Linked DNA regions of Alligator mississippiensis. The protein of the gene in region 4 purifies or fractionates together with the protein of the main gene of each other region. This does not show direct contact. Links are inferred from orthologs where the notes say so. Each region holds a gene or a part of one and is shown on either strand. Other genes may lie near its edges.

Evidence for each region.
Region 1: the proteins of EEF1A1 (region 4) and VARS1 purify together in Homo sapiens (affinity purification with mass spectrometry; 3 studies listed by BioGRID and IntAct, counting the BioPlex papers as one, with this or other methods). This does not show direct contact. The link is inferred for Alligator mississippiensis from reciprocal best matches to the Homo sapiens genes EEF1A1 and VARS1.
Region 2: the proteins of EEF1A1 (region 4) and EEF1B2 purify together in Homo sapiens (affinity purification with mass spectrometry; 3 studies listed by BioGRID and IntAct, counting the BioPlex papers as one, with this or other methods). This does not show direct contact. The link is inferred for Alligator mississippiensis from reciprocal best matches to the Homo sapiens genes EEF1A1 and EEF1B2.
Region 3: the proteins of EEF1A1 (region 4) and GAPDH fractionate together in Homo sapiens (co-fractionation; 3 studies listed by BioGRID). This does not show direct contact. The link is inferred for Alligator mississippiensis from reciprocal best matches to the Homo sapiens genes EEF1A1 and GAPDH.

What each region holds. Positions count from the first base shown.
Region 1 is NC_081834.1:57,717,888-57,725,705, reverse strand, and holds the start of VARS1 (valine--tRNA ligase), read right to left. Parts: upstream 3,007-7,818; 5' UTR 2,908-3,006; intron 2,860-2,907; exon of another isoform or gene 2,808-2,859; intron 396-2,807; 5' UTR 388-395; coding exon 40-387; intron 1-39. Other genes in the region: U6 snRNA-associated Sm-like protein LSm2, read right to left, coding at 5,650-5,775, 6,187-6,246, 6,416-6,446, 6,841-6,908. UniProt on the Homo sapiens protein: Catalyzes the attachment of valine to tRNA(Val).
Region 2 is NC_081827.1:174,211,501-174,219,452, reverse strand, and holds the start of EEF1B2 (elongation factor 1-beta), read right to left. Parts: upstream 3,004-7,952; 5' UTR 2,946-3,003; coding exon 2,866-2,945; intron 2,771-2,865; coding exon 2,648-2,770; intron 337-2,647; coding exon 210-336; intron 1-209. Other genes in the region: NDUFS1 (NADH-ubiquinone oxidoreductase 75 kDa subunit, mitochondrial), read left to right, coding at 5,102-5,165. UniProt on the Homo sapiens protein: Catalytic subunit of the guanine nucleotide exchange factor (GEF) (eEF1B subcomplex) of the eukaryotic elongation factor 1 complex (eEF1).
Region 3 is NC_081824.1:243,386,680-243,393,578, reverse strand, and holds the start of GAPDH (glyceraldehyde-3-phosphate dehydrogenase), read right to left. Parts: upstream 3,008-6,899; 5' UTR 2,942-3,007; intron 2,708-2,941; 5' UTR 2,688-2,707; coding exon 2,665-2,687; intron 2,023-2,664; coding exon 1,923-2,022; intron 1,559-1,922; coding exon 1,452-1,558; intron 1,344-1,451; coding exon 1,253-1,343; intron 1,073-1,252; coding exon 957-1,072; intron 813-956; coding exon 731-812; intron 270-730; coding exon 114-269; intron 1-113. UniProt on the Homo sapiens protein: Has both glyceraldehyde-3-phosphate dehydrogenase and nitrosylase activities, thereby playing a role in glycolysis and nuclear functions, respectively.
Region 4 is NC_081824.1:63,916,784-63,923,690, forward strand, and holds the start of EEF1A1 (elongation factor 1-alpha 1), read right to left. Parts: upstream 3,018-6,907; 5' UTR 2,917-3,017; intron 2,379-2,916; 5' UTR 2,330-2,378; coding exon 2,186-2,329; intron 1,086-2,185; coding exon 906-1,085; intron 818-905; coding exon 521-817; intron 301-520; coding exon 150-300; intron 1-149. UniProt on the Homo sapiens protein: Translation elongation factor that catalyzes the GTP-dependent binding of aminoacyl-tRNA (aa-tRNA) to the A-site of ribosomes during the elongation phase of protein synthesis.

The DNA.
Region 1 (7,818 bases), on a different chromosome or scaffold from region 4:
CCCCCACCCCCACGCCCCTCCCACAGAATGGAGGCTTACCTGTGGGCCAAGGGCTGCCAGGCCAAGGTGGGGCAGGGAGGCAGCGGTGGCAGCAGGGGCCACATCAGCTTGGGCATAGGCCACCCACTGGCGCACTAGAGTGGCCTGGGCCAGGCCACAGCCACGCAGGGTTGGGGGGGCCAGCAGGAAGGTGACAGCGGTGGCTCCGGTCACACGCAGCCCCCCTGGATCCTCCAATGCTGGCAGCCGGGGCAGGGCAAAGGGACCAGGAGGTGTCAGATCGGGCACAGGCACCACACGGGGTGGACAGGGGGCAAAGCGCGATACCACCAGCGCCTGCCGGCTGGCCACATCTTCGGCACAGGGGGACACAAACAGCGTGGCCATGTCCAGGCCTGGGACAGGGGAGAAAGAAAGGGGGTGAGAACCCAAGCATCCAGGCTGCCAGCACCCCCTGCTGTAACCCACTGGAGCTCCTGGGGCCCACCCAGGGGTCCAGGCTCCCAACTCCAATCCAGCAGCTCCCCATTCCCAGCGGCAGAGAACACAGACAGTCAGGCTGTCAGCTCCCCACCCTGCTCTGATCCCCCTCCCTGATCCCCAACGCCACCCCTGCTCCTAGGAACCTGTGTCCCAGCTGATGCGATCCCATGGACACCCTCCACCAAAAGGGACCCAGGTGTCCAGTCATGCCCCCTATAACAGTGGGTCCTACTGTAATCTGGGGAGGAGGGAGGGAATTATAGTGGGTTGTACCATAAATCTAGGGAGTAGGGAGGTCCTACCATAATTCTGGAAGGGGAGGGTGGAATTACAGGGGGTCCTACTGTAACTAGAGGGGAGGAGGATTATAGTGAGTCGTATCATCATTTGGGGGAAGGCGAGGAGGGAATTACAAAGTGGTCCTATCATAATCCTGGGGGAGGGTTAGAGTGGGTCATACCATAATTGGGGGGTACCATAATTCTGGGGGGAGGGGGAAATTATAGTGGGTCATACCACAATTCTGGGGGGGAAGGGAGGAATGACAAGGGATCCTATCATAATCTTGGTGGAGTAGGGAGATTATATTATATATTTGCATCTTTTTTGTACTGTTTTTGATGCAAGCAGCCTTGCTCTGTTCACATCCATCCAGAAAGCTGATGTAAACATTATTTTCCTAGCCTGTAACTTTGACATGCTGCTCCTCTTGGTGCATCTCTCTGTTAGTTCTTCCTTCTCTATTGCAGTCTAACAAAAGCTGCAAGGTACTGCACCTGGGGAGGAAGAACCAGCAGCATACCTACAGGCTGGGGAACTCTCTTCTTGAAAGCACAGAGGCAGAAAAGGATCTTGGTGTCATTATAGACTCCAAGGTGAACATGGGCCGACAATGTGAGGATGTGGTCAGGAAGGCTAACCGCACCTTGTCATGCATCCACAGATGCATCTCAAGCAGGGCCAAGGTGATCCTCCCCCTCTATGCAACACTGGTCAGGCCGCAGCTGGAGTACTGCGTCCAGTTCTGGGCACTGCACTTCAGGAGGGATGTGGCTAGGATCAAGAGGGTCCAAAGGAGGGCCACCACCATGGTCAGGGGGCAGCAGGGCAGGCCCTACAAGCAGAGGCTACGGGACCTGAACCTGTTCAGCCTCAAGAGAATGCTGAGAGGGGATCTGGTGGCCACCTACAAACTTGCAAACGGAGACCAGCAGGCAATGGAAGAGTCCCTGTTCTCCCGAGCACTACCGGCAGTAACAAGGAACAATGGCCATAAGTTAATGGAGAGTAGATTCAGATTAGATATCAGGAGGCACCACTTCACTGTCAGGGCAGATAGGATCTGGAACGCTCCTACCCTGGGGGTCTTCAAAAGGAGGCTAGACAGCCACCTAGCCAGGGTCGTTTGACCCCAGTGCTCTTTCCTGCCATGGCAGGGGGTCGGACTTGATGATCTGCTCAGGTCCCTTCCGACCCTACCAACTATGAAACTATATGGGATCCTGCCATAATTCTGAGGGGCTATAGTGGGTTGTACCACAATTCTAGGGGAAAGGAAGAAGAATATGAGGGCCCTACCGTAATTCTGGGGATGGTATTATTAGTGGGTTGTATTATCATTGGGGGGAAGGCCAGGGGCCCCGCCATAATTCAGGGGTGAGAGAGGGATTATATGGGGTTCTATCATAATTCTTGGGTGGGGGTGGGGATTACAGTAAGTCCTATGCTAATTCTGAGGGGTTTACAGTGGGTCATACCATAATTTTGCAGGGAGGGGAATTATATGTGGTTTCACCATAACTGTGCAGGGGGGTGCTATAGTGAGTCCTCCCAACACTGTATGGAAGGGAGAGGAATGGCAGAGACTCCTACCATAATTCGGGGGGGAGGGGAGATAAGTGAGTCCTACCTTGACTGGTGGGGAAGGGTGAAGGATGACAGTAGGCCCTACTATATCTTGGGGGGGGGGGGGAGGGTTAGTGGATCATACCATAATTCTAGGAATGAGGGGGGATTAACAGTGAGTTGTACCATACTTCTGGGAATAGGTGGGGAATGACAAGGGGTGCTACCACAATTCGGGGGGGGGGATACTGGGTCCTACCACAGTTCAAGAGAGGGAGTGACAGGAGGACCTACCATAATTTGGAGGATGGAATTATAGTGGGTTCTGGGTAGTTGGGGGGGGGGGTCCAGGGGCTCTACCATAATTCCCGGGGGAGACGGAGAAATGACAGCAGGTCCCACCATAATCCGGGAGGGGGATAATAGTGAGTCGTACCATAATTCTGGGAGGGGCGGGGGGGCATTAAAGAGGGTCCTACCACAATTCTGGGGGAGAAGATTGCAGGGGGTCCTTCCAACGCTCTGGGGGGTGGGGGATTACAGGGGGTCCTGCCACCACTCCCCCCGCCCCCTTCTTACCTCCCAGAGCCCCACGTGTGCCGCCCGGCCTCGCTCTACACTCCAAGGACCCACTTGGGGCTGACCACAGCACTGCCTGAGCCGCGCCACGCAGCCCCGCCCCCTCCGCCTTCACTAGGCAGCTGGAGGGGCGTGGTCGGGTTTAGCCGTGCCCCTCTTTAGCATGAATGCGGGCGTGGCTTTGTTTATCTAGTTGGACAGGCACTAGCTAGGATACTCGCAAAACGGGGCCTTGTAGAAAGGAAGCTGCGTGGAGGCATAAAGGTGCTGGGGTGGATAGAGCGGCCACAGCGCAGGCCGTGCACTTGGGCAGGTTCATAGAGTGTCATAGCGCCCCCTGGGCGCCTGGGTTCACGGGCGCTCCTCTGCGGGCCGGGGGCTGCGTAGAGCCGGGGGCAGAGCCCGGCTGTCCTGGCCCCAGCCCCTGTTGTCACCCCCAGGCCCCACTCCCCACGTGACACTGGGCTGGTCTCTGCGGGAATGGGGCATTAGAGAAGGGGGGCTGGGAGGGACACCTGGCTCCTTTGGGAGGGTCCCAGAGAGCCCAGGTGTCCCTCCCTTCTGTAGTCCCCACACCCACCCCGCTCCCTCCCCGGTGCGAGAGCCAGCGGCCCGTCTACAAGGGAGCTGACTGCCCCGCAGCATCGCGCGGTGCAAACTCCCTGGCTCCCGGCCTGGTGCAGCTGCCGTGGGGTGGCCAGCAAAAGCCTGTGCCAGGCAGAAGCCGCTCGTCTCTAGCAGCCCCTGGCTCGGGGCCGCGGCGGGTCGGGTCAGGTGGGCCGAGTGGGTGCTCGGTGCTCAGCGAGCAGAGCCGCGCTGCGGCATGCACGCCGGCTTTCGGAGGGGCAGCGAGGGCCCCCGGCCTTCCAGGCCACAGCCGGGCCCCGCGGGCTAGACGGGAGTGCCTGGCCGGCGGGATTCTGCCCGCCCCTAAAATGCAGAGAGAACAGGAGGGGTGTGCGGTGCCCACACCCCTCCCGAAATAAACGGAGAACCCAGGCGTCCCGGTTCCCGCTTTAACCCCAGGCCACCCCTGGACTGAACAGAGAACCCGGGCAGCTGGGCCGCAACCCGGGATAGGAAAGAAGAGGGGAGACTGGATGCTACAAAACACTTTTATTGAGATGTGGGAGCATAAAACCAGAGCAGAGGGGACCACCACCAGCCCTGGTGGGATGGAGACACCCCTCACCCCAGCTTGGGGAATGGACCAGGCCAGATGGGCTGGTCCATTCCCACCCCCAGGCAGCCCAGTGTGGCACAGGGGATTCTTGATGAGGCTAAACAGGCCCTAGGGCTGGCTGCTGTGGGGCAGGGGGGTGGGGGGAGAAACCCCCAAGTTCCCCCTCGCCAGTCTCTTCCGGGTGGATCAGTCCGGCTGAACTCCTCCCCCTAGGAGGTAGGCCTAATGGAGCAGTCTAAACACCATTTCCCCCCCCTTCAAGCAAGATAGATCAACCTACGCTTCCCCCTACAAACCAAGGCAAATGAGCTACTCCACTCCCCCCTGCAGTCCAAGCCGGTTGGACTAGTCCTTTCTACCCCCCTACAAAGCTAAATGGAGTAGTCCATTCTACCCCCTGCCTGCCAAGCTAGATGGACTAGTCTATTCCAAACCCCCATGCAATCCTAACTATTTGAATTAGTCCATTCTAACCCCTACAAAGCTAAATGGATTAGTCCACTTTACGCCCTTGTAGTCTAAACTAGATTAGAACCCTTCTACCCCAGAAGCCAAATGGACTAGTCCACCGTAGGCCCTGCAGGCCAAGCTAGAACTAGTCCAGTCCACCCCCTACAATCCAAGCCAGGTGGACCAGTCCACTCTACCCTCCCCCCAACCATCTAAAGTAGACTAGACCATTCTACATAAACTAGTCCATTCCACTCCCCCTGCAAGTCAGATAGACTAGTCCATTGTAACCACCACCCCTTTTTCAGCTTCATAGCTTAGAGCCTAGAGCCCCCCCCCATTCCAGTCCCTCCTAGCTGCGAGGCCCTGGGGGAGCTCCAGGAACCCAGATGTCCAGGACCATGGCCAGTACCCCCCTCCCCGCCCCATAGACCCAGACAAGCCTTGATACAAATCAAAGGTTGAAGACACCCAAATTTAATACCCCACTGCCAAGTCTATGCACAGACAAGGCCCCAAAGATGCCCCCATGTGATTATTTGCCCCCCAGGTGCTGGAACCCCCTCCCCCTCCAGGACCCTCGACTCTATCCCATAGGGGGCAGGGAGACTAGATACCCTGCCTTAAAAGAACCAAAAGGAGGGGTAGAAAACTCAGTGCAACAAAAGATCAGGCTAAAATAGGGGCCTTCAGGAGTGTGGTGAAAAAAAGGGATGGGGTCCCGTAAGAGGAACCCCCCCAGTAGTTGCAGGGGGGAAGAACCCAGGCACCCAGGGACCTAGATATGGCTCCAGTTCTGCTCAGGACCGGAGCAGGAACCCAGGTGTCCGGGGAGGTAGATGTTGGCTCCAGCGCTGCTCAAGACTAGGACAGGGATCCAGGTGTGCGGAAGGGCACGAACCCAGGTGTCTGGGGATCTAGATGTAGGCTCCAGCGCTGCTCAAGACAGTGCAGGAGCCAGGCACCTCTGAGCTATTAGCCCAGGTGTGGGGGGGGGGGGGGGGGGGGGGGGGGGCAGGACAGGAACACAGGGGTGTGGGGAGGTCTGGACGTGGGCTCCAGCTCTGCTCAGGTCTGAGGCAGGAACCCAGGCATCCGGGGGGGGCAGGTCACTGCTTCTGCTGGAGCGCCTCCTTGCGCGCGGCATCCTGCAGCAGCTGTGTGTCCACCTCGTCGGCTGGCAGCTGCACGTACCGGACCACTGAGCCCCGGATGAAGCAGTTCTTCACTGACAGCTGGGGGGAGGGGGGGAGCAGGAGGGTCAGTGTCCACAGCTGGGGGACTCTCCACCTCCCCCAGGGTGCTCCAGCCACAAGCTAGGACCCCCCACAGCCAGTGAGACAGCCCCTCACAATATCATCAAGCCCCACCCAAGCCAGTCCCCACCCCAGGACCTGGCCTCCCCCCACACTCCCAGCCACCAGCACCCTCCCAGAGCCTGGCCTCCCCATATACCCCCAGACCCCTGCAACCTCCAAGCCCCTCCATAGCCTGCCCCCCACACACACCTCCAAGCCCCTTAAACCCCAGTCTCCAGTCCCCTCAATTCACCCCCCTGCCCCAAGCCTGGCCTCCCCACACCCCCCAAACCCAGCCCTCCCACACACACCCAAGCCTAACCCCTGTGTCCCCCCACTGGCCATTACCATGTGTGGGTACTTCTCAGGGTCTGTCACACTGATGTCTGTCAGCTTGATGTTCAGGTACTGGGAGGGGGTGGGAAGAACAGACAGACAGAGAGACAGGCCCTGAACCTAGTGCTGTGAGGTAGAGGCCTGGAGCCTCCTAGCTGGCTGCAGAGCAGCTTGGGGGGGAGGGGTGGCCCTTTAAAGGGACTGAATCATTGAGGGGCATGGGGGGGAGAAGAGGTCCTACCTGGTCTACGGAGTGGAGTGTCCCACAAATGCTGCAATAGAGGAGGGGGTTAGTTCGTGGGGCAGGGGGAGCCCCGATGCTCGGGTTCTCTCCGTGCTGTGGGGGGAGAGTGGAGTCTGGTTGGGGAGCAGAGGGAGTTGGGAGCCCAGATACCTGGGTTCTCTCCCAGCACTTGGCTGGAGATGGGGGCAGATGCATTAGAGCAGGGGGCTGGAAGCCCGGACACCTGGGTTCTTTTGCTGCTCCGGGAGCCGAGTGAGGTGTGGAGGGGGTAGTACTTGGGAGCCCAAACACCTGGGCACCTGGGTTCTCTCCCAGCTCTGGGTTCTCCCTCTGCTCTAGGTGGGGAAAGCCTGGAGGGGAGGGGGGAGTTGGGAGCCCAGAAACCAAGGCACCCCCCAGGCCTAAAGTAGGCACCCGCTCACCTGAGGTCGTTTTTCAGCTCCACCACCACATCTTTGCCCACCAGGGACTTGAAGAAGGAGTAGAAAAGCTGTGGAGGGGAAAAAATGGCAGGGCTCAGCCTGGGGCAGGCACACAGCCCCCCCACCACCCCGAGCACAAGGCTGAAGCTGGTCCTTTACTTCCAGGTCCTGGTCCCTTTCCCAGACCCAGTCTTTACGCAGCTGAAGGTTGTTAGCAGCAAAGTACAGCAGCCAAAGAATCCAGGTGGCACCAAAACGATCTATTTGCTTATGACAACCTAAAATAGCATCATGCCTCAAGGACACAGCACCAAAAAGACCTGATCTGCAGCTGGGTTTCTGGGGTCAAATCCTCTCCAGGTTGCCCCAAACCACATGTCTTTACCGCCACGGCATGCTCTGAACAAGTCTGAGCAGGGCCCTGTCCCGCACCAAGCTCAGTTCTTGCGCCAGCGCTGCCCGCCCCCAGCCTGGGCACTGTGGGTGCCTGCACACAATGTTGGCTTTTTCTAGCTAAAGATAATCTCCGGGTTTATTTCATTTTCACAATGTACTACAATGATTTCCGTTACTATTTTGCACGTAACATGTATAACACTCAAAATTCGTTAATGTACTATAACTAGTAAAAAACGCTAGACACATCATAACAGTTTTAACCATCCCGATCTTCTACTACTAAATCACAGCAGGGGGCAGGTTAGGAATGAAATTTGTGATTGGTTTAGTTTTTTTTTCTGGGGGGGGAGGGGGGGTGGCCTTTGGGTTAGACTGCTCCTACTGCCCCAATTTTCTGCCACTCAACGATGCATTTTCAGGTGCTCTACCCAAAAAACGTACTAGCCTTGTCAATTTTGGGGACATGGAGTGAGACTGGTTAGCTTTTGGTTGCAGTTCCATAAACACCACCCCCTGCACAGCAGCCAGCAGGCAGCCGTCAGGAAGTGGAGGGCTTGGACCCCGTGGTCCATGTGTGGC
Region 2 (7,952 bases), on a different chromosome or scaffold from region 4:
TCCCCACACCCATTCAGCAAGCAGTCAGTTCCACCAGAAGACTATTTTTAGAGAGCCTCTCCGATTCAAACAAATTATGACCTTTATAAGATGTTAAACAGACCAACAGAGCAAAGATAAACTAAAAAAAGAAATGCATCTATAACTGAATTTTGGTAGCTGGGAAAACAAAAACTCATAGCAAATAAATAAAATAAATGCTAGTACACCTCCTCGTCATCAGATCCAAAGAGATCGATGTCATCATCATCTTTGGTATCTGCAGCTGCACCAGCTGTGGTATCCTCAACATCAACAGGACCGTATTTCCCCAAAGCCTTCTTCACTCCTGGCAAACTAAGTAAGAGAGCAGAGTCTGTTAAAGATAACTGATTTAAAAAATGTATATATTTCAGTTTTACTGAGGTTTTGATTCTGTTGTAAACCTCCAGTAAATATTTCTTGTCCTAACAATGAAACTCAAACCTTAATTATGTCACTATTTCAGAAGTGAAGCACCAGATTCCAATCCACAAGTGTACCCACAGTAAAGCATGCTGCTTAGACGAATATGGTGAATTTAATGTGCATAGAAAGCTAAACCTCTCATGCATACAGCAACTCTTGCTCCTGGTAATTGGATTTCCTAGAGTACACCACATAAGAGCAGCAACCAAAAGCTTCAGAACACAACCCTGTACCAAGAGGAGTTCTGCAAATTTTACTGTGCTGTTCCAAGTGCAGAAGTGATGGGATATATTACAGAAAAAAATGTAACCACCATCAAATCAAATTTAAGAATTAAAATGTTTTACATTAAATTGAAGCACATTAAGCACTGCCACTCCCCACTGAAATATTTTCAAGGAAATGCTTCATTATTGAAAATTAAGCCTCAGTGGGAATGGTAATATCAAAAGTTTTATCACAATGTCAAATCCTTGGGTTTTACTGACAGGTTGGTTCTAACTATGAGGTAGTTTCCCAATACTACCCCACACAACCATAAGCCTATAATGTAAATAAGGATAAACTAAAATGCCTGAGGAACCAAGGAGAACCTAACAGGAACTAAATATTCCTGAAACCCAAACACAGTTCAAATAGCTCCATCTACTGCTAGAAAACCTAGAATGCAACTTTACATTGCCTGTTCATTCTAGTACCTTTTGAACTATGATTTAATTCCTGCTTTAGTCTTTCTAGATGTAGCCACTAACACCATAAGAGCATAGTTTTGTCTTATGCTTTCATTTACAGTATTGTGGGGTTTGCTTTAGGGATTTATTTATTTTTTTTAATCAGACTGTTAGGCATTAGAAAAGCCAATGACAAAGCACTCTCCTTCTGAGCGGCTAGAAGAAATTACAGTACATTACGTTCTTTACAGATCTTGTGAACTGGATTTTACAATTTCACCCCAACCCACATACTAACAAATTATTAAATAGTATTACAGGCTGTAACATCAAGAAAAGCCTAGGACAGAATGGATAAGAGACCAAGCCATCCATCTCTACAACAGGTCTTGGTGAGGCAATGTGGAAATGGCACGTACTAACACTGCCTATGCTGTACCTTTTCTAGGGAGGACTTCAGTCTCCATGGCTGTCAATACGGCACTTTTCATGACCACTAAATTCACTAAAAAAAGAAGAGAACACATTTGCTTTCATTTCCCTCAAGAACAGTGTCCTTACTGGTCACTTGTCTGATTTAACCCTTCAGGGAGAATAGTCCAATATGAGGTTTTCCTAAGAGCCATTGTAATTATTGTGCTCCTGGCTCAGGTGGCTTTGAGACCAAGCTATAAAAGCCACTAGCGAGCAGCTATTGTACGTGCATGATTTTCAAATGGAAACACAAAAGGACTCAGTTGCATTGGATTAACCTGGTTAAAATCCAGCCCACCTTGGTATAACCTTTAAACCATTATTTGCAGTGTATATAGAAGGTCATGCTGCTCAAGGCATGAGCGGCCACAAAGCCCGTCTTCCAGTGCTGGGGTTTCAGCCGAGCCCCTGAACGCCGCATGTGCAATAAGGGTAGACCTAGAAGTGCAGAATCCCAGGGCCAGCGTTGCCAGGTGTATAATTATCATATCTATGATAATTTCATACCCTTGTACAATGTGAGATCAATAATACTAGCAGAAGTGTTCAAAATGTGCAATAATTTTTGAGGCTGCTAACTAATGCAGCATATGCAAAGCCCAAATCACTCTTGAGGACTTTTGAGCTTGCTGTCAGTACCTTCTTTTGACTGCTTGCCTCAAAATAAAGAAGTCTTTCAACTTTGGTGACCCAGTTCTCATTCACTCACTGGCAATTTACAGCAAATAAGATGTATTTGCGTATTGATTTGCCTACTTTTTCAGCATACAATATAGTTTTTCAGTAAGCACAACAACGTTGAGCTTCCAATAAGATAATTTCCTATTTAAGACTTGGTGACGCTGTCCAGGGCAGAAGCAAGCCATCTTGGCCAGGCCACCCCAGTGCCCGCACCCTACCTGCTCCACAGCAGCAGCGAAGCTGGCACCTTTCAAAGACAACACACAGGCTCAACATTTAAGGCAACCCCCCCCCCCAAAATAAAACAACCCACGCCTTTTGCGCGGGGGGGGGGGGCTGCTCCCAGAGAAGCAGTGAGTGGAGGCAGATCCTACCTGGCCTTTTGCTTCTCGTAGGACTGGATGTGGTTGTACCAGCGCAGCGCGTGGCACAGGTCGGCGGGCGGCGGCGCAGACACGGCCTCGAACACGGCGACGTCGGCCTGGGACGGCCCGAACCTAAGGGGACGCGCGGTCAGAGCGGCCCCGCACGGCGCAGGCGCGGAGGCCCGACCCCGCGGGCCGGTTACACTCCCCCCCTCAGCAGCGCTCACCCCTCAATGTAGCTCCTATCCGCCAGGAAGTCATTGAGCATATGGAGGCCTGCAGCGGTCTTGAGGTCCCCGAAACCCATGATGGCAACAGCAGGCCAAACTCCGACAGCACCCACTGCGCAAAGAGGGCGCCGTCTCCTCACGCCCCCCTTATATAGGCGCCGGCGGAAGGTTCCTTTTCCATTTAGTTTCGTCACTATAGTGTCCTTCCGCGGAGAAATAGTGCCTTCGTCTTCCGCTCCGCTCAGAGCAGGGAGAGGGCATTACCGGACACGAACATAAGAAAACAGGAGCAGAAGGAAAGGTTTCAACTCTGGAGCGTGCTCGGCCGGCTCCACTGAGGGGACAGGGATTTTCAAAAACAGGTTGCAAGGAAGTGACGGAAAATGCCGAGCGCGGGTTCCGGAAATTGCCGAGGGCTGGCGGAGGGTGGGAGGGGGCGGAAGCTTCCGAAGCCGCGTGTTCCCGGGGGGGGGGGTGTCGGACACTGCCGAACCCGCCTCTTCTGGGGAGGGACGGAAACTGCCGAGCCGCCGCCGGAAGGGGACGGGAATGGCTGAGGCTGCGCGTCCCGGGAAGTAACGGAAACTGCCGAGGCCGGCGCTGGGGGGGCGGAAATTGCCGAGGCGGTGTCCGGGGAGGGACGGAAACAGCCGAGCCGCCGCCATCCAGGCCCTGCGAGCTGGAGTTGCCGCAGTGGTCGTAAGTGCTGCGCCGCGCCGCGCGGCCGCTACTCCGTCGCCCCTCAGCGGCACGAGGTACCGGGCGGGGCCGCGGCCGCGGTGGGGGGCCGAGCCGGGCCGGGCCCTCCTCCTGCGCCCCGGCCGCTCCGTGCCCTTGACAGCCGGAGGGGAGCGTCCTTGCGGCGGCCAGTGATGGCAACAGCTTTTCCTTAAGTCTGAATTTACTGTGAACAGTGTGTATATCTATATCTGTATCTATATATAGATATAGATATTTTTACTCAATAAGTGTAGTAATGGAAAACGAACACAATGAGAAGTCAGCCCCCCAGTGGTTTGTTTTGGGGGGGGGGCGGCGTGACAGGGCAGTGCTGCTGTAGGAGGGTTTGGATGTTGTAGCGGTGAGGGGGCCCTTCTGTGACCTCCTCTCGCACCGTTTCTCAACGCGTGGGTCGCGACCCAAAGCAGGGGCGCAAGAATATATAAAATGGTTGTGAACAAGCTTTAAAAATGGATCGGTCAATTTTAAAAATGGATTTTCCTTTAAAGGAGAAGGACGTGGGAAACTGGCTTTTCCCCTGCCGGCTGGCAGAGCTGCAGCCTGTGAGGGGCTGCTTGGCATAAACACTGGGGGCGGGGGGCAGCAGGCCAGGAGTGAGGGGCATCAGGACTGGCCACTGAGGTTAACAAATGGGTCCTGGTGCAAAAAAGGCTGAGAACCGCTGTCTCATTTAACTGGCTGTATTGTTAGGGCAGAAGTTGGGCCAGCTTCAGATCTAGAAAAGAAGGTCTGTACCCTCCCCTCAGTCTTCAGGTGGTCTCTGTGCTCTTTGGGGCACAGACAGAAGTGACAGTTTTTGCCTGATTTGGCCCCAGAAAGCGCTCTACAGCCATAACCAAATGGAAGTGCACAGCTGCAGATCACTTTAAAAGGACCCACGACAGTCTGAACCCTCACTGCATGAGGGGTGAGGGTCAGATGAACCCTGTTGCATGAGGGTTCAAATGAACATGCTCCAAATCAGAGTATGTTGTATAACTTGTGTCTGTAAAGCTTCCAGCCTGTCCCTGTTTTCAGAATGGGAGGGGGGAGAGGGAGCAGAGGGAGTCTGGTCTGGGTTTTTTTCAGCAGGCATTTTGGGATGGGGTGGGTGGATTGGAGCTGGGAAACCTGAGTTCCCTCTGCTCCCTTCTCTTTCTTCCTCCCTCTTCCCCCCCCCCTTCTGAAAACAGCCTCCAGGCGGGGAGGGGGGAGTGGCATTGCTACAGAAGCTGGGCTGCAGGTCTGCAGCACACAACTGGAGTCCCAACTCCTGGGTCCAGGACACAACAGTAAATTTCTCTTGGGTCCGGAGGATCCTTGCAACTCAAAGTGCTTCCTTGCAAAGCACTATGAGTTGCAGTGGGGAGCTGCTCTTTTGCCTTTACCCTAGAAATGTAGTCAAAGCTTAGTAGAGAGCTGTTGGATGTACAGTGGGGATCTACAGAAATGTTAGTGTTTTCTAACTGCAGAAATTTGTGGCACTAATTGCTCTCTTGTATTTCCCAGCACCATGCTGCGACTACCTGCTGTCCGCAGGGCCCTAGCTGGTGTCACTCAGTCCAGCAGAGGATGTGGTGAGTTGGCCTTTATTTTATACATTTACGTACATTGATGCACTGTGTTTAAAGAAAGCACTGAATGTTTCGACTGTTATATTATGTGTAGAGGGGCTTCATATGCATCACTGAGTTTTAGAGAATGATCTTCTAGCTGAGGCTGTTTCAGATCATTCCAGTTGTTTAACTATGAATTATTTTTGTTTCTGATAATCCTTTAAGCTCTTCATGCTTTGATTTCAGTCTTCCTGGAGGACAGAATTTCATAGTGTTCAATCCAACACTCCATTTGTTTTTGTTTATCAGTGATGACATTTCCGTCCAAGTCTTACAGTGGATCTGTTTTCTTCTTGACTGGACCAATTGCTTGCTTGATGCTTTCGTACGTTTTGTGGCTATCGCCTGCGTCAACTGCTTTCTGAATATGATCAGTGCTTCAGCCAAAAATCTGGGGCACACAGTTTAGCCTCTTTTTGCATTTCTCCTGGAGCCTTTCTCAAAGTTTCCAGGGTTATGGTTTGGGAGATGACTTGCAGATGGTTAGTGCTGTCCTTTTGTTTCCAACCAGTGATAGAAGCGTTTCAGAGTGCTCTTAAAACTAGTCTGCATTTTACCTAGCATTTCCTCCCTTCCTCCCCCCCCCCCCCCCCCCAAATGCTGTTATAGCAGCATTGTACATGTTAGTTTTTAAGTTTCCACAAGCCTTGGTGGATGAGTTGTTAGGTAAACTTGTTTTCACAACTTCTTCATTGAATAGTTTGCATCTTTAGTTTGGCTGATTATCAATCTGAGGATGACTTGCTACAGTGGATCTTTTTAGCATTGATTCTGACTTAACATTGACCATACCTTAGTCTGCTGCTATAGTCAGTGATGTGTTAAGACCTTGCATGCAGATTTCTTAGGTGGTTGTGCCTGGTTAGTACTAGATCTAGTTGGTGCCAGTGGGCAGTGATCCTGATCTTGGATGTTTCCATGATGTCTGTCTTGTGGGTAGACATCATGAGCAGGTGTTGGTAATATGTAGTAGGTGTTGGTGACATGTAGATCTTGACTTGTACTGGGTCCTAATGCTTGCTGGCCACTTTCATTCATGTTTCCTTCCATGTTAGCCCAGAATACCAGGTCAGTTCTCAAAACTGCATTCAACTCTTGCACTAAAATCACCAAATATTATAATGGTCTTGTTTCTATGAGTTTTTTCTCAATTTCCAAGTTGTTGGTAGAACACGTTCCTGTCTTCATCACTAGCTTGAAGAGTAGGCGCATAGACACTAAACAACATAACAAAACCATTCTGTGCGTGTGCTCTGACCGTGATGATGAATTAAATAGATGCAGCAATGGGGGTTACCACAGTTTGATGGGTTTGGACAGTGAACCTACATTAGAAGATTTATAGAAAGCCTTTAAATCGACTCCTGGGAACTAGAGATCCAGCAATGACAGTTTGCCTGCTGAAATCTAAAACTGTGCCAGTGACAAATTACTTCAAAAGCTCCATGAACTTATGCTGCTCTGTTGGAAAGAGGAAGCAGTATCACAAGATTTCAGAGATGCTCAGTTTGTACAATTATACAAAAACAAGGAGGACAGAAGCAACCCAGTTGAACATCATCAGGAAAGTTGTCACTCGCATTATGCTACTTGATCTATTATCAGCAGGAATCCTGACCTTCAGACTGAACTGACAGAATTGAAAAAGCAGCTAAGAATTTTGGCCTCTTACAAAAACACACATGGAATAATAGCAAACTATCATTTAAAGTAAAGATTCAAATTGACGAGACTTGTGTGCTGTCACCCCTGTTTCATGGTTCAGAAATGTGGACTGCATATGCTAGGCACATCAAGAGACTGAACAGCTTCCACCTGAGATACTTGTGTAAGATCCTGAAAATAAAGTGGGAAGACAAAGTAAAGTACAGAGGCACTGGAATGTATGGGCTTGACACACTTAAAAACCATTATCTAGAAGAGGAGGTTGCTGTTAAATTATAAAATGGGATTAAGGACTAGTGTATAAAGGATTGATATAACTTGTTCAATAAATGACAGAGAGGTTTTATTTACTACAACTATTCACTATTAAATGATCTTAAAGCAAAACAAAATCCAGTATATATAGTTGTAAAAGTGATAGTATCTCACCAACACAGGCAAAGAGGCGGTCTTAGTCTTGTTAGCTCAAGGCATGGATCTGTTGCCAGTGAGATCAGGTCAGCTGGGCTCAGTAGCATTTCTTGTGTTGAATGATTTCTCACTCTTGAAGTGCCCCCTGTTAGCTGCTTCATTCCTTTCTTATAACTTGCAGCTCAGCATCTTCAAAGCTTTCTTGTAGTTGTGTAAATAAAGAGAGAAACCCAAGCCATAACAAACAGGAAGATCCTGTTTTCCTAACTGTTCATTATTATCAGAAAGTCCCAATTTTAATTGAATGACCTTCCCCAGTAACGGGAGGTTTATCAATCTGTACTGAGTTGCAACATATCAGGAAATTGATTAACAACTGGGAAAAATTCAACATTTTTGAAGAGTTGTCCTTGGAAGATCAAGGGAACTACTGAGACGAAACAAGAGTTAATCAAGAGGAGATGCCTATCAAACTCCATATGGAGAATGTTTCTTCCGGCACATAAACCCAAGTTAATTGCAAAGAAATATTTACTATAGTAATGAATCCAGGATAGACATTTCACACAGTCACATATATGATAGGGGTGCACCGATAGAGATTTTTGCGTTGATTCTGATAGCCAATTTTTAAGGAGGCATATCTGCCGATAGCGATCTAATTTCCAATAC
Region 3 (6,899 bases), about 180 Mb from region 4:
TGATTCCCAGGTCAACTAGGGTTTTGACACAGCCTGCTGGGAGGCTGTAGCTGTAGCTTATCCTGCCCTCCTTCCCCCATGCAGGTAACCCTTGGGGATGAGGGTGGAGATACTCGCCCATTGAGCTCAGGAATGACTTTTCCCACAGCCTTGGCAGCACCAGTGGATGCTGGAATGATGTTTTGGGCAGCGCCTCTGCCATCCCGCCACATCTTCCCAGAGGGGCCATCCACAGTCTTCTGTGTGGCTGTGATGGCATGGACTGTGGTCTAGAAGGTGGGACAGAGTTAGAATACAGTATATGCACCTGGAGTTTCACCTCACTACCTGAGCTACCTGCTGGCCCCTACCTTCCCCAGTGTCCAGATGGTATAGGAAGGATCACCCTTCCTACTCTACTAGATCAACAACCCCCACCCACAAAGCCAGGCCTGTTAGTTTCAGTTGTTTGGGGCTGGGAAGGATCTTACAGATCATTGGGTCCAGCCCCCCTGTACTTGGGCAGGAAAGACCTGGAATCAGATGACCCCAGCAAGATGAGCATCAAGACACTTTTTGAAGTTCACCAGGATGGGCAACTGTACTACCTCTTGTGGGGGGAGAAAAAAAAAAAAAGTGACCACCCCCCATCACTGCCCCCTTACTCTTATGGCCAACCCCTTGGTTGAAAGTTCTGTAACAGATCTCTCCCCTTTCTACCCTCCAGGCCTGATGTTTCCAGGTCACTTACCATGAGACCTTCCACAATGCCAAAGTTGTCATTAATGACCTTGGCTAGGGGGGCCAGGCAGTTGGTGGTGCAGGAGGCATTGCTATGGGAAAGGAGAGCAAGACATCAGCCTGGGGCAGGTGGGGCCAACCCCCAGTGGAGAGCACAGGCAGGGAGCAAAACTCCCTACCTCACTGGGGTCCACTTTGCACCTCAGACTTGTCCTGCACAGGTGCCCATTCCTCACCTGACAATTTTCAGAGACTTGTCATACTTCTCATGGTTGACACCAATCACAAACATGGGTGCATCAGCTGAGGGGGCAGAAATGATCACACGCTTTGCACCACCCTTCAGGTGAGCCTAGGAGAGAGGGAGAATACTCTTATCTACCCAGGTATGAGGGGATACCACACACATGCAAGTCATACACTTCCTCACACCTTGAAGTCATTCAAACACATTCTCTTGCTTAAGACAGAGCTATCGCCCTGCTTAAACCCTTCCTCTCACATATCCACCCTAGGTACAGCCACCACTTACACTGGCCTTCTCTGTGGTGGTGAAGACTCCAGTGGACTCTACAACATATTCTGCTCCAGCTTCTCCCCACTTGATGTTGCTGGGGTCACGCCTGAGAGGAAAGAGATCGTTTAATATCCAAAAGCTATTAAATTCTGCTCCTCCACATCACCCTGTGCCCCAAGCTGCAAAAGGAAAGGGAAGGGGAAGGGACACTCACTCCTGGAAGATTGTGATTGCATGCCCATTAACCACAAGTTTTCCATTCTCAGCCTTGACAGTGCCATGAAAGCGACCGTGTGTGGAGTCATACTTGAACATGTAAACCTGGTGGGTGGGATAGGGGAAAGAGCAATGTCAGAAACGTGGGCTGTATCCCTCCAATAATCCCCTGCCACTCCGGGCTCCAACACCCCTTGCTCTGCCAACCCTTTTGGCTGAGGGTAGCTTGCTGCTTCTTCCTGAAAAGACCTTGCTTGGGTCTGGCTCCCTTGATATGGCTCTGAGGCCAGCCAGCAGCCCTTCACTGTAATCTCTGCCACACCTCATGTGCCCATGGTGCTTGGCTTTTGGAGGGACTGGAGAGTCACTGCTTTCCCTCCCTTCTCGCCATGCAGGGAGGCAGCTTGGCCAAAGGCCAGTAAACCTGGTGGGCTGGGGAGGGAGAGCAAGGTGGAGGGATCCCACTCACCATGTAGTTGAGGTCAATGAAGGGGTCGTTGATGGCCACGACCTCAACTTTGCCACTGCTGAAGGCGGCTCTGGTGACCAGGCGGCCGATACGGCCAAATCTGGAAGGGGGGGAAATAAAAACTGAGGCCCAGGCACATCGAGGGGTGGGAAGGGGACACTGTGAAGGAGTGCTGCAGTCTGGGGAGGGAGAGATTTGTGGTGCCACTCCTGAAGCAGCTGCCCTTTCCTCTGCACAAGGAGAGGCCGCAGGGCAGCAGGGGGGGGGTTGCCCAGCTGCAGCAGACCAAAGGGCAAGAGAAGTTGGAGATTAACCGGCCCGGTCCACTGCAGAAAGGTCAGGTACTAAATTTACTGGGCCTGGGACAGCAGCTCCAGTTACAGCACCATAAGGTCGCATTTCCCGGGGCCTCAGGGCTCAGGCAGACACGCGATCCTGGGGGGGGGGGCCAGGAAGCCGCAGGAGATCCCAGGGCAGAGCCCTAGTGCTGCCCCGAGGCGGTGGCGCTTCCCGCTCGTGTGACTCAGCCCGGCGTGGCCCAGAGGGGGGTGGGGGGGAAGTGACTCAGCGGCCGCCCCACCGGGCCGCGGCTGCCGCGCACAAGGGGCCGCGTGCGCGGACCGACAGGCGGGAGGGCGGGGGGCGCCGCGGCCGCAGCTGCCGCACGGGACGACCTTGACACGTCCTTGGGGGGGGGGGAAGCACAGCCCGGGCGGCCGGCCCAGCCCCGCCCCGCGCTCACCCGTTTACGCCGACTTTCACCATCTTGTCTCTGGAAGATGCTCCTAGGGGAGGAAGCGGCGGTGAGACCAGCGCGGACACTTTCCGGAGGCCGCAGCCCAGAACTCGCCGCCTCTCTGAGCCCGCCCGCACCCCACCCCGTCCCGTCCCGTCCCGTCCGGCACAGCCCGATGCCCCCGCCCTGCCCCGCCCGGGACACAGGCAGGCAGCGCCCCTTGGCCAGTCCCGGACACCCACGTGCCGCGCCTGGCCCTGGCCCTGGCCCTGGCCCCGCGCACCTGGCCTGACCCAGCTCGGCTTCGACGTGCAGTGAGGAGGTGGGAGCGAGCCGCGCCACCCCAATATATAGCGACTCGCGGGCCCGCCCTTGCGGCCCGCGCCCAATCAGCGTCGGGGGGCGGCCCCGGGCTACGTGCGCCTCAGCTCGCCTGGCCTGGCGTTGCCTCCAGATCCGGGCGGGCACTGGACGGGGGAGTGGGGCGCACTGGGGTTGGGGTTGCTCGCCTAGGCGGGTAGGTGTGTGCCTATCCCACGCGCCCTCGGGCAGGGGCCGTGCCGGGGGCGGGGGACGCAGCCCCGGCGCCCCCTCGGGCCCCGTGCGCCCCCCCCCCCCCTGCGGGACGTGACGGCGGAAATCCTCCCGCCGGCCCAGGGCCGCGATAGCGCCCAGTGGCCTGGCCGAAGTGCCCCGTCCCCGCGCCGCTCGGCCTTCCCACGGCTTAGCCCCGGCGCTGCCATGCGGGCTCCAGCTCCCCAGGCCCTGGGGGGCAACGCTGGCGCAGGAAGGGCACCTGGAGCCCAGAGCACCAGGAAGGGATGGAGTCAGAGAAGCGGGGCTGGAAGGGACCTCCAGGAATCATGGAGTCCAGCACTGCCTGAGCCAGGGTCACCCCTATCCAAACCATCCATGGGCTAAACCCAGCATAAGACTGCTGTGAACCCTGAGGCACTAAGGAGCGAGTGTGCTATGTGTTTTGTGAAAGAAGACTTGAAGACATGCAAGCATAATCTAAGGGATACTTAGATGATACTTAGATACTTAAGGGATATTTAGATTATACTTAACACTATTAAATACTCTTGTGATATGATCCTGGCAATGTTGCCAAGTTATCCTATATAGCCATACCTGCCTTAGATGAAGCAATCTTTCAGGAGAAGATGTAGTGAGGGGCAGCAGGCTTCCCCCCCCCCCCCCTGCCTGGCCCTGTTTAGGAACCTCTGGAGCAGGCTGGCAGCAGGCATGAGAGACAGCAGGGCAGGCGTGGCGTGGGGGGGATGGGGAGTAGATACCAAGGGGGTCTGCAGACAGGTCACCTCACTCAGGCGTAACCCAACTCCCCTTGCAAAGCTACTATTCCCAGGGCTGCCAAAGAAGTAGACAGCTAAGTTTAGCTCCAATGGAGGTTGTGACCTTTACTTAAAGGCCATGGGGATGGATGGCTTATGCTGCAACCCTGTGGAGGGGTCAGTGGGGAGGGGGTGACAATCCTGGCACCTCTTCCTCCCTCAGGAAAGGGGCCAGCCCCAAGGCCCAGCCTGCTAGGGGGAGCAGAACAGTGACAAAAGGTGGCTCCAGGCTACTAGCACATTTGCAAGGCCTACTGTTTACTGAGCAAACATGAATGCTGCTGAGGACTCTGTGCAGGGGGCACAGGGCAGGTGAGAACAGCCAACATGACAACTGCAAACCTCTCTGGCCCTAGTGTTGTCCCACTCAACCTTTCAACCACTTTTCCGTAGCCAAAGCTCCAGTTGGGGCAAGCCAAGATGAGCTCGCAGGGACATACTCCACAGTCAACATTCCTGCTTCTCTGGCTTGGAGTACATGTAGGTTGAGATATGCTACTCCCTTGTCTCATGCCTTGACAACATGAAAGCAGCTTCCTCTGGGGTGGCAGGAGTGAGGGGCTAAACATGGAGCACAGGGAAGTAGAAGATGTGTTCCCCAGCACCTCGTAATAGCACACATAGGGTCAGTGATCTGTTAGCCAGCTCCCCACAGACCTCTTTCACTCGTCTGTGACTGTGAAAGTTTGGGGAGGAAGGATGACAGAGTCGGGCAGAGTCAGCCGTGGGATTTGGCAACTGTGAATCAAGGGAATGATGTTGGAGTGGCTGTTACATAAGGGTGTTAGACCAGGCCAGGGACAGCCACTGGGCCTAGCACAATGGTGTAGTGTCTGTGGGAAGCAGAGAGTGAGACAGGGAGTGACAGAAACTGAATGGTACAGAACTGGGAAGTCTTTCCCCAGTACAGAATAGATCTGGATTTAGCTGCTCTCCTGGCATTGGTGCAGGAGTGAGGAAAGGTCGTGCTTGATATGTGAGAAACAGAGAGAAGCCACTCCACCGGACTCCACAGGTGAACTGCGCAGAGAGAACAGCAGGCCTGCCTAGCTGGGATGCTGCTGCCATCTGCTGGCTGTGAAATGCTGACCCTTCCCCTCTGTAGGACTCATGGAGCAAGAGTATCAAAATGGATGTAGTAAAAGGCTACATGAGGGCCAGGCACTGGGCTGCTGGCATTTTACTTATGTAACACCCACACACACTTGGGGTTGTGTGTGGTAAAGTGTGGTTTTGGTAGTTGTGTGTGTTTTTTGGAGACTGGAAGAGGCCCACTTCCCTCCCCCGTCATTGTGTCCTGACCATTGTCTTAAGATTCCTTAAAAGAACTAGTAAAACCAGTTCAGTGACTCCTGAGCGCATCCAGGAGCACTGACCACCTTTGAATACATTGGTCTGCATTACCAGTGTTTAAATGATGCTGTTTCTTGATTGGGACCCTGTAATGATGTCAGAAAAGTTATTTAAGGTTCAGGCTACCTAGGCTGGGGGCTCTTTTCTCCTGGGGCTGCTGAGAGCTGTACTGTTGAATTGGGAGTCGGAAAACCTGCTCCTGTTGGGCCGGGGGGGGGCGCTGTCATGTCTCTCCCCTCTTCAGTGGAGAAGCAAGTAAAAGCTGTGTGACTGAGAAGCCTCAGGTACAGGAAGAGAAAGTCTGTCTCAGGGCTTGAGACCCCTGTTTTCTCCCTCTCCTTTCCCCTTTTGTTTTCTGGGTTTTGAGTGAGATGATACCATTGGGGGAGTGGGGGTATCAATTCCATGCAGCAGACTAGCCAGAGTTGGAGCCTGGCAGTTTTGCTGATGAGCTCCTGGCCAGGCCTAAGAGCCTGACATGTAGAAGTTGTGGTTACACTCCTTTTGGTTTCAACCTAGATGTGTGGTTGAACCCCAGCTGTATGTCTTGATGGCAGTTTTGGCCACACGGGCCTTGAGTGGGATGGCATCATTAGTGTATTAATCCCTAGAGCAGACTGACCAGGAATGGGGTTTTGGCAGTTACTGACCTCCTGTGTTGGGGATTGTAGTGTCTCAGCATGGTAGACTGGATGTCCAAGCTGGAGCTATAAGCCTGAGCCCTTTTTGCTGTTCCACAGCAATTGCATTTCAGCCCAGTTGAGGTGGCTGAACCCCAGCCATATGACTGGCTGGCAGATTTGGGCTAGGGTGAGACTATGGCACTTCTTGTTGTTTATCCAGGCTTTAGTGTGGTATAGGCCTGGCCAGCTTTTTGCCCAGTCCAGGTCCAGTGAAATAGGCCTGGGCCTCCTTTTGTCCCTCTTGCAGTTTATGCCCAAACCAAGCAGTATGGTTGGGCACTAGTTGTAGTTCAGGTCCTTTCCAAAGTAGGCCTGACCCCTTTTTGTTGTTTCATAGCTGTTAGGTCTCAGCATAGCAGTGTAGCTGAGACTAAATGTCCAGGCCGCAGCCAAATAGGCCTGGTGCTCTTTTGTTGTATGTTCAGGACAGGAGGTGCAGGACAGGCCTGGGTCCCCCCTTTTATTGTTTTATAGCTGTTGTGCCTCAGCCTAGCTGTGTCGCTGAGCCCTGCTGTGTGTTTGCTGCATGTTCAGGCCTGGCATGGTTTGGGGCTGACCCATGTTGTTGCTTTTGCAGTTCTTTGTCCTGACCAAGCAGCGTGGTTGGCGCTAGTTGCAGTTCAGGCTCATTTGCTGTTTGGCTGGCTTTTCTTTGAGTTCTCTTGCAGTTTCCTGTCTCAGTAGAGCTAGGATTAGGACTAGAAACTTTGGGGTGTGATATGCTGACAAAAGCTGCAATTAACCCTGCAAAGCCACCACGTGGAAGTGGAGATCAACACTACAGCTTCTGAGGGAGCAACAAGGGACCCCTTGCAGTGCAGGCCCCTGAAGCAGCTCATAGGACTCTCTG
Region 4 (6,907 bases):
ATTACTTCACACCGGTTTGTTACAGTCTCTCACTAAAAGGGAAATTACTACCACTTTTTTTTAAACTTATGGAATGGAATGTCACCAACAAATTAGATACAGGAGAAGGTACAACCTATTCCCCTCCCCCACACACAAAAACACCTTACCGCCAATTTTGTACACATCTTGAAGAGGCAGACGCAGGGGCTTGTCAGTTGGACGAGTTGGTGGCAGAATGCAATCCAAAGCTTCAAGCAGGGTAGTGCCACTGGCATTGCCATCCTTACGGGTGACCTTCCATCCCTTAAACCAGGGCATCTGTGGCAAAATAAGATGCAACCATTAAAATTTGTCCCGTTTCCTAAAAAATCCATTTCTAATATCCTAAAACACATCCAAGTAACTTAATTATCAGTTTAAAAACTAAGCCTAATATGACTGAGGTGCATAGATTCATCTAAAGGGTGAAGAATGTATCACAATAGTCCCCTTCAAAGAAAGGAGGGAACACCCCCCCCCCCATAAGCAAACAACTTACATTAGCACTGGGCTCCAACATGTTGTCTCCGTTCCAGCCAGAAATTGGCACAAAAGCCACTGTGTCTGGGTTGTAGCCAATTTTCTTAATGTAAGTACTGACTTCTTTGACAATTTCCTCATATCTCTTTTGGCTGTAAGGTGGCTCAGTGGAATCCATCTTGTTAACACCAACAATGAGCTGTTTGACACCCAGTGTGTATGCCAGAAGCGCATGCTCACGGGTCTGCCCGTTCTTGGAGATACCAGCTTCGAACTCACCAACACCAGCAGCAACAATCAGGACAGCACAATCAGCCTTTGAAAAAGAGAAGTATTAAGTTTCTATTTACATGCATATAAAGAACAAAAAACTAAGTGCACTAGAATTCTCTCATTTTACGTACTTGGGAAGTGCCAGTGATCATGTTCTTGATGAAATCTCTGTGTCCAGGAGCATCTATGATGGTGACATAGTACTTGCTGGTTTCAAATTTCCACAGGGAAATATCAATTGTGATACCACGCTCACGCTCAGCCTTCAGTTTGTCCAAAACCCAGGCATACTTGAAGGAACCTTTGCCCATCTAGGAGATTAAACAAGCAAACAAACAAGAGTCATTGATATACTTGCATTATACTTTGTAAGTGGCAGTTTTAAAAAGGAACCCAATTTGTAGGATAGCCAAGGGACAGGAAAAAAAAAGTCTACAGTGGCAGATGGCTTCTACTGCACTAGGGATTTCTGCTGCCAGCACAGCTTTGGCCTAGACACACTTGGCACAACTAGTGAGAGATTCCATCTGTCTTCTGTTATTTAACCTGATGTCACTTTAGCCCTGGACAACTCATTAACTACAACTAACATCTTTAAAGTTAGCTTGGCTCCACAAGGTCCATCAGATCAAGTGTCCTCTGGAAGCTTGTTTTCATACCGTTGTAATCCTTCCCACAGCTAGCCTGTATGCGTTTATCCTCTGGAATTTACACAGATAGCATAATGCCATCACCTACTGAGTCATTCTTATTGAGGCATAGTCCAAATAGAAAAAAAGAAAAAAGATATTGCATGATAAATTTGGAACAAATGCAATATCCTCCAATATTACTCAGTTTTAAAGACAAAGCCCCATATAAGTCACTTTTAAAAAAGGTAAATTTGGAGTACAGCAGTTACTCATCAACTATTTGATACAGCCTGCCTGAACAATTCCCAGCTACACAAGTTGGGCCAAGTCATGCTCCTCCTGGTTCCCCATTTATAGCAGGGGGAGCACAGGAGGGGAGGCAGGGTGGCTTTCCCAACACTGCCCTGCTGCAACCTTATTGTTTGTATTAGTAGCTTGAAAGCACAAAGCAATGCACTGGACAACCTCTGGGGGTCCCTCCCAGCTCGACTTCTCTAGGAGCCTATGGCTCCAGGAGTAGACACGGCCTTTTTCAACACTGCAGCAAGCAACTGCATTTTGGGGGCAGAGAATATCAAGGTGTTCATCAAGGCTAAAAACAGAGGTTGGAATTCTCCTGGAACAAGATTCCCGGCTCATATAGACAAGCAGTTGCCACCTCACCAGCACTTTTTCTAAGTTGGGCAAGACAATGCTTTCTGCTAAGCACATGAAAGAGACCCCCCAACTCCAGGAAATACCCACTCATACCACCCTTCCCCTCTCCCCCGCAGATGCACCTCGGCAGCCTCCTTCTCAAACTTCTCGATGGTGCGCTTGTCGATGCCGCCACACTTGTAGATGAGGTGCCCGGTGGTGGTAGACTTGCCCGAGTCCACGTGGCCGATGACAACGATGTTGATATGGGTCTTCTCCTTGCCCATGGCGGCGGCTGGCGAGTGAGGCTTTCCCTTCTCCCAGAAAAATCAGCACCTGCGGGCCAGAAGAGGCTGGAGTCACCCCGGAGCCCGGGCGGCGGCGACCACGAGGGCAGCGGCTGACGCAAGGCCGCGGCTCCACCCACCCACCCTTGCGGCGGCGGCCCGGCCAGGCCACAGCGCCCCCACGCCGGCCGGAGGGGGCCGCGGCCCGGCGCCAGGGCGGCGCGGGAAGGCGGGGCCGCCCCGTTCCTTTGTGCGGTTCGTCCCGCCCGGCCGGGCCGCGCGCGCGCCCTCCATTTTGTGGCGCTGCCTGCAGGCAGGAAGAGCCGCCATCTTCCCCGGCCCGCGCCCCCCGCCCCGCTCCCGCTCCGCGAAAAATTGAGACCCCGCTAAGAGGCGGGGGGGAAGGGCGGCGGCCACGTGCTACGCCCCCACCCCGGCACGAGGAACCCGACGCCATTTTGTGGCGCCCCCCGCGCCCCTCCCCGGCACCGCGGCCCCTGGCCCCACCAGAGCCCCCCCCTCGCGGGGCCCCACCCGCCCCTGCCACTGTGCCCGCCCCGGGCCTGGCCCGCGCCACCGCGGCTTACCTACAAGACGGCGGCAAACCCGTGGCGAAAAAGACCGACAGCGTGTGCGCCCGGCCTTATATAGGCTGGCGGGGCGGGGCCCACGGATACGTCACGGCTCCCAGCGTTCCGTTCGCTCCCCCTCCCCACCCCCTCCGGGCCGGCAGGGAGCGCCGCCCAACTGCGATGGGGCGGGGCTGCTTCCCTCAAGTCAGCAGCGGTATATCCCGGAGCCGTACGTCGGCGCTCCCTGCCCGGACTTTGACGACGGCCCCTGCCCGAGCGCCCCTCCCCCAGCCGGGAGAGCACCTGCGCGGGTGGGGCCCCGCCACGCGGCCCATCCCCCATTCCCCCTCCCCTCCGCTGCGTCCCCAAGGGGGCGCCCGGGGCCGCGCTTCGGAGCCCGGGGAGCGGCACTTACTCCGCGCTGAGGCGGCCCGTCTCCTCCCACCTGCCCTCGCCGGTGGCTGGGTCGGAGGTGACTGAGGCACCCTCGTTTCTCCGCCGCCGCCGCCTCGGGAGAGGAAGCGAGATCCCCGTGGGGGCCGACTCCCCGAGCAGACTTCCTCTTTTGGCTCAGACTTGGGTCCCCGCGTGCTTCACTTGCAGCCAAACCGGTTCCTTCGCTCAGAGATACATCAGTTGGTGCCTGCTTTTGGGGGCGGGCAGCAGATAGTAGGAAGGCCGGGCTGGAAGGGGCCTCACGGGACCATTTAGGCCAGAGCAAACCTGGCCTAAATTCCAGGCTGGTGCCTGTCCAGCCGACTGGTGAACATCTCCAGGGACGGAGACATGCTTCATGGCTCTTCTGGGGGGCGGACGGTGCGCACCCGCCCCAGCACGCCAGGCTGCAACCCCTTCTCACCCCAGAAAGTCCTGCGGAGGCTGGAGCTGCACCTTTCCGTGTGCACAGTCGCCACCTGCAGCCTCACCATGTCCCAGGACCTATTGGTCAACCTCCTCCTGGCCCTGGCCAAGACAGCAACATGTCTAACAGCAAAGGAGGCATGAGGCCAGGCTCTGGCCTGGGAAACTCACGTGAGTGTGGGGTGGTCTTCACTCACATCCTGTGGCACGGTTTCACTGGCCCGTGTCCACAGGCACCCCATTTCATGCAGCAGGCACTGGCAAGTCTGCTATGCTTGGTGTTCCCTTCTGATCCCTTGTTTTGAACTTGTGATTTCACATCCTTTTCTGTTTCCTTTTTTTTGTCTTTTCTCCAAACCAGTCGTGTTGAGTTGTCAGTGGCCTTTCTTTTAAAGGGGGGGGCTTATAGTTTTTGGTGGGCCTAGGCTTCTGTTCCCCAAGTGCAACAAACAGGTCTGGGCCACACTGGCAAAGAGCAGGTGCTGACTGAGTGACCGGGGCACAGCCAGCGTTTTCCCCTGTTCCTCTCGTGTGCAGCCTCCTTCGTTTAAGGTCCAGGAAGTTCAAGGAGTAGCATATTTTTGTAGACAATGAGGGCCCTGCCACAGTCAAAGCTGGACAGAAACCAGCTATAGCGTTGTTACGCATTTTCAAGCACTAAGCTTGTAGCTGGCTGCCTCTTCTTTTAGCCAGACAGTCATTTTTAATGGCTTATCTTTACTTTGCATGTGTGGCTGGTCTAGATTTATTGCACAATTAACCAGTTCTGTGATAATCACTTTGTACTTGTGACAGGTTTTACTTTGCACATGTGGCCAATGTAAAATTATTGTGCGATGCACTAGTCAGTTGCTTAATATACGTAACGTGTATCAGGAGCCTAAGAAAGAGAAACAGGAAAGCAGCCCGCTCTAACATGGCTCATGCCTCCTTAGCATTTTCTCGTTTGGCTCTGATTCACTTCTGGCAATGTAGAAATAAACCAAATGTAGACTCCACCCGCAGTAGTACAACAGTCTGAAAATTAACGTCACCTGCTGGAAAATGTGCACTGAAGAACATACCTGTATAACTCCAACCTTGTATAACCACCCATGAAAGGGCATGGACTACGTGGTTACATCAACAGAAACTTTCAGTGCACTTTCTAGATACTAGGCAATATGACTGTACGGTATGGACTTCTAAAAGACTGAGACTGTCTGGTATAGACTTGAATAAAGCCTCAAGTTATGAAAATGTAGGTGTGTGAAACTGGGTAATCTACATTCATGTGTGTTCATCGATAGTTATGTGAACTGATTTTGTGACCAGTGACTTGTACGGCCAGTGCATATAACTCAGTGTGTCAGCATCTAAAATCTCCAAACTTAACTGGTTTGATTTAGCAATCTCCTCCTTCATGCTGTGGTTGCTGTTGCTCATGTACTTTCTATAAAAGAATTGTCTTAACAAACCTATGGGTAGCGGGTGGACCAAGTAGGCCCTGGACACAATCTTTTCTTCCTTTAAAAAGTTTCCCCACAGTTACGACCCAGGTCAGTCCCACTAGTCCTTGAATATAGTACACAGAATCTTTACACACTGTACAGTGATGCTTCGTGACAGAAAGCCTACCAGTAACCTTACAGGGAAGTGTGTCAGGAACTAGTTACAAAATATTAATAAAAACATTGGAAATTACACCCAAAGCATTTGTTTAGTATCTCAGTTTGTAGGTGGCATCTGTTTCTATATAAAAGTTTGTTTGGGAAAGGCACCCACAGCAGAGAATGTATTGGTATTGCTTTAGTATAATTTGGTGTGTAGAATGGGAGAGAGGAGAGATTAAAAGGATCACCTGTTTTTCAAACAAATAAATAGTTCTATAAATGGTATTAAAAGCTCAACTTAAGGTTTTACTTCTAAGGAATCTCTTTCATTCATTCCTTATGTATCATAAAAAACACAAGAGACAGTGTCTCTTGATCACTTGAAGAGGCATATGGGATATCAGCACAAAAGCAAAGGGTGTAACAGGAATACCCTGATCGTCCAGCCTTTCCAGCCTATTTTGATTCCACTTCTCCATTGCAGACTTCTCCCATGTCTCCTATTGCCCTGCCAGTTGCTCTGAGTGGGTTGACCTGCGCTTTTGAAGGGAGGATATCTCCACTCCTCTCTAATCAGAGAACTGTCATTTGGTTTTTGGTTTCTGTGGGAGGGTGGAGAGGTGCATAAAAGCAGGCTTATTCCAACCCCCTCCCCAGGAGCCACTATGGCCACTCTTAGGAGTTACCAAGTTCCTTATCTAAAAGTTATGGAAAGGGGAAAAACCTGATTTCCTGTCCCAAACAAGACTAAGCGGGCCCCTGTTTTGACGGGGAGAAAAAAGGTTGAATTCTTTAAGAGGAGGAGCAAGGAAGAGGCCTTGAGGGACAGAGACAGTTGCACCCATTCAGCTAGACAGATACCAAAATAAGCAGCAACTCTTGTTGACAGGATACTACTACAATTTCCTTGCCATCCACCAAAAGTAGAGGATGGGGCAGTTTTTCTCATCCAATATGGGTTTATTGTGCAGCACCTCCAGATGTACTTACTTGTTTTACTGAGAAGGCAAAACTTGCATAAACTGGGATCCTGCCACATTCTCATCCAACACAGGGAGCTAAGCTAAATAAATCCCTGGTGAATACTCTCAAACCAATCACACCCCTTAATATGGACACAAGGCTCCTCACTTGTTGAAGCCGAAAAAGGGATTCAATCCATGAATTCAATACACCAAGCAGCTTATCTTCAGTTGCAAGACATGCAAGATTTTAAGAAATACATTCATTATTTTAGAAGCCTTTAAAAAAAAAAAAAAAGCAATCTTCTAGAGATGCAGAAAAACTGTCAATTTTAGCATAATGGATTTTTCTTCTAACAATACTAGTAAATCAACTTTCGATTTTTCCCGCATTCTATGCACACACCTTTAAAATCAAGTCAAGACAAGACAGGCAAAGAGTCCAAGGTATTTGTTAAAATGGTCTTCTGTCCCTCCTCCTTTCTATAACTGCCATTTAATCTTTAGCAGTAGAACTGAAAGCTCCAACTTGAATTAAGAGGAGCGTTTAATTAGTTGGAACAGAATACTGAAGTGGAGGAAATCAAACTT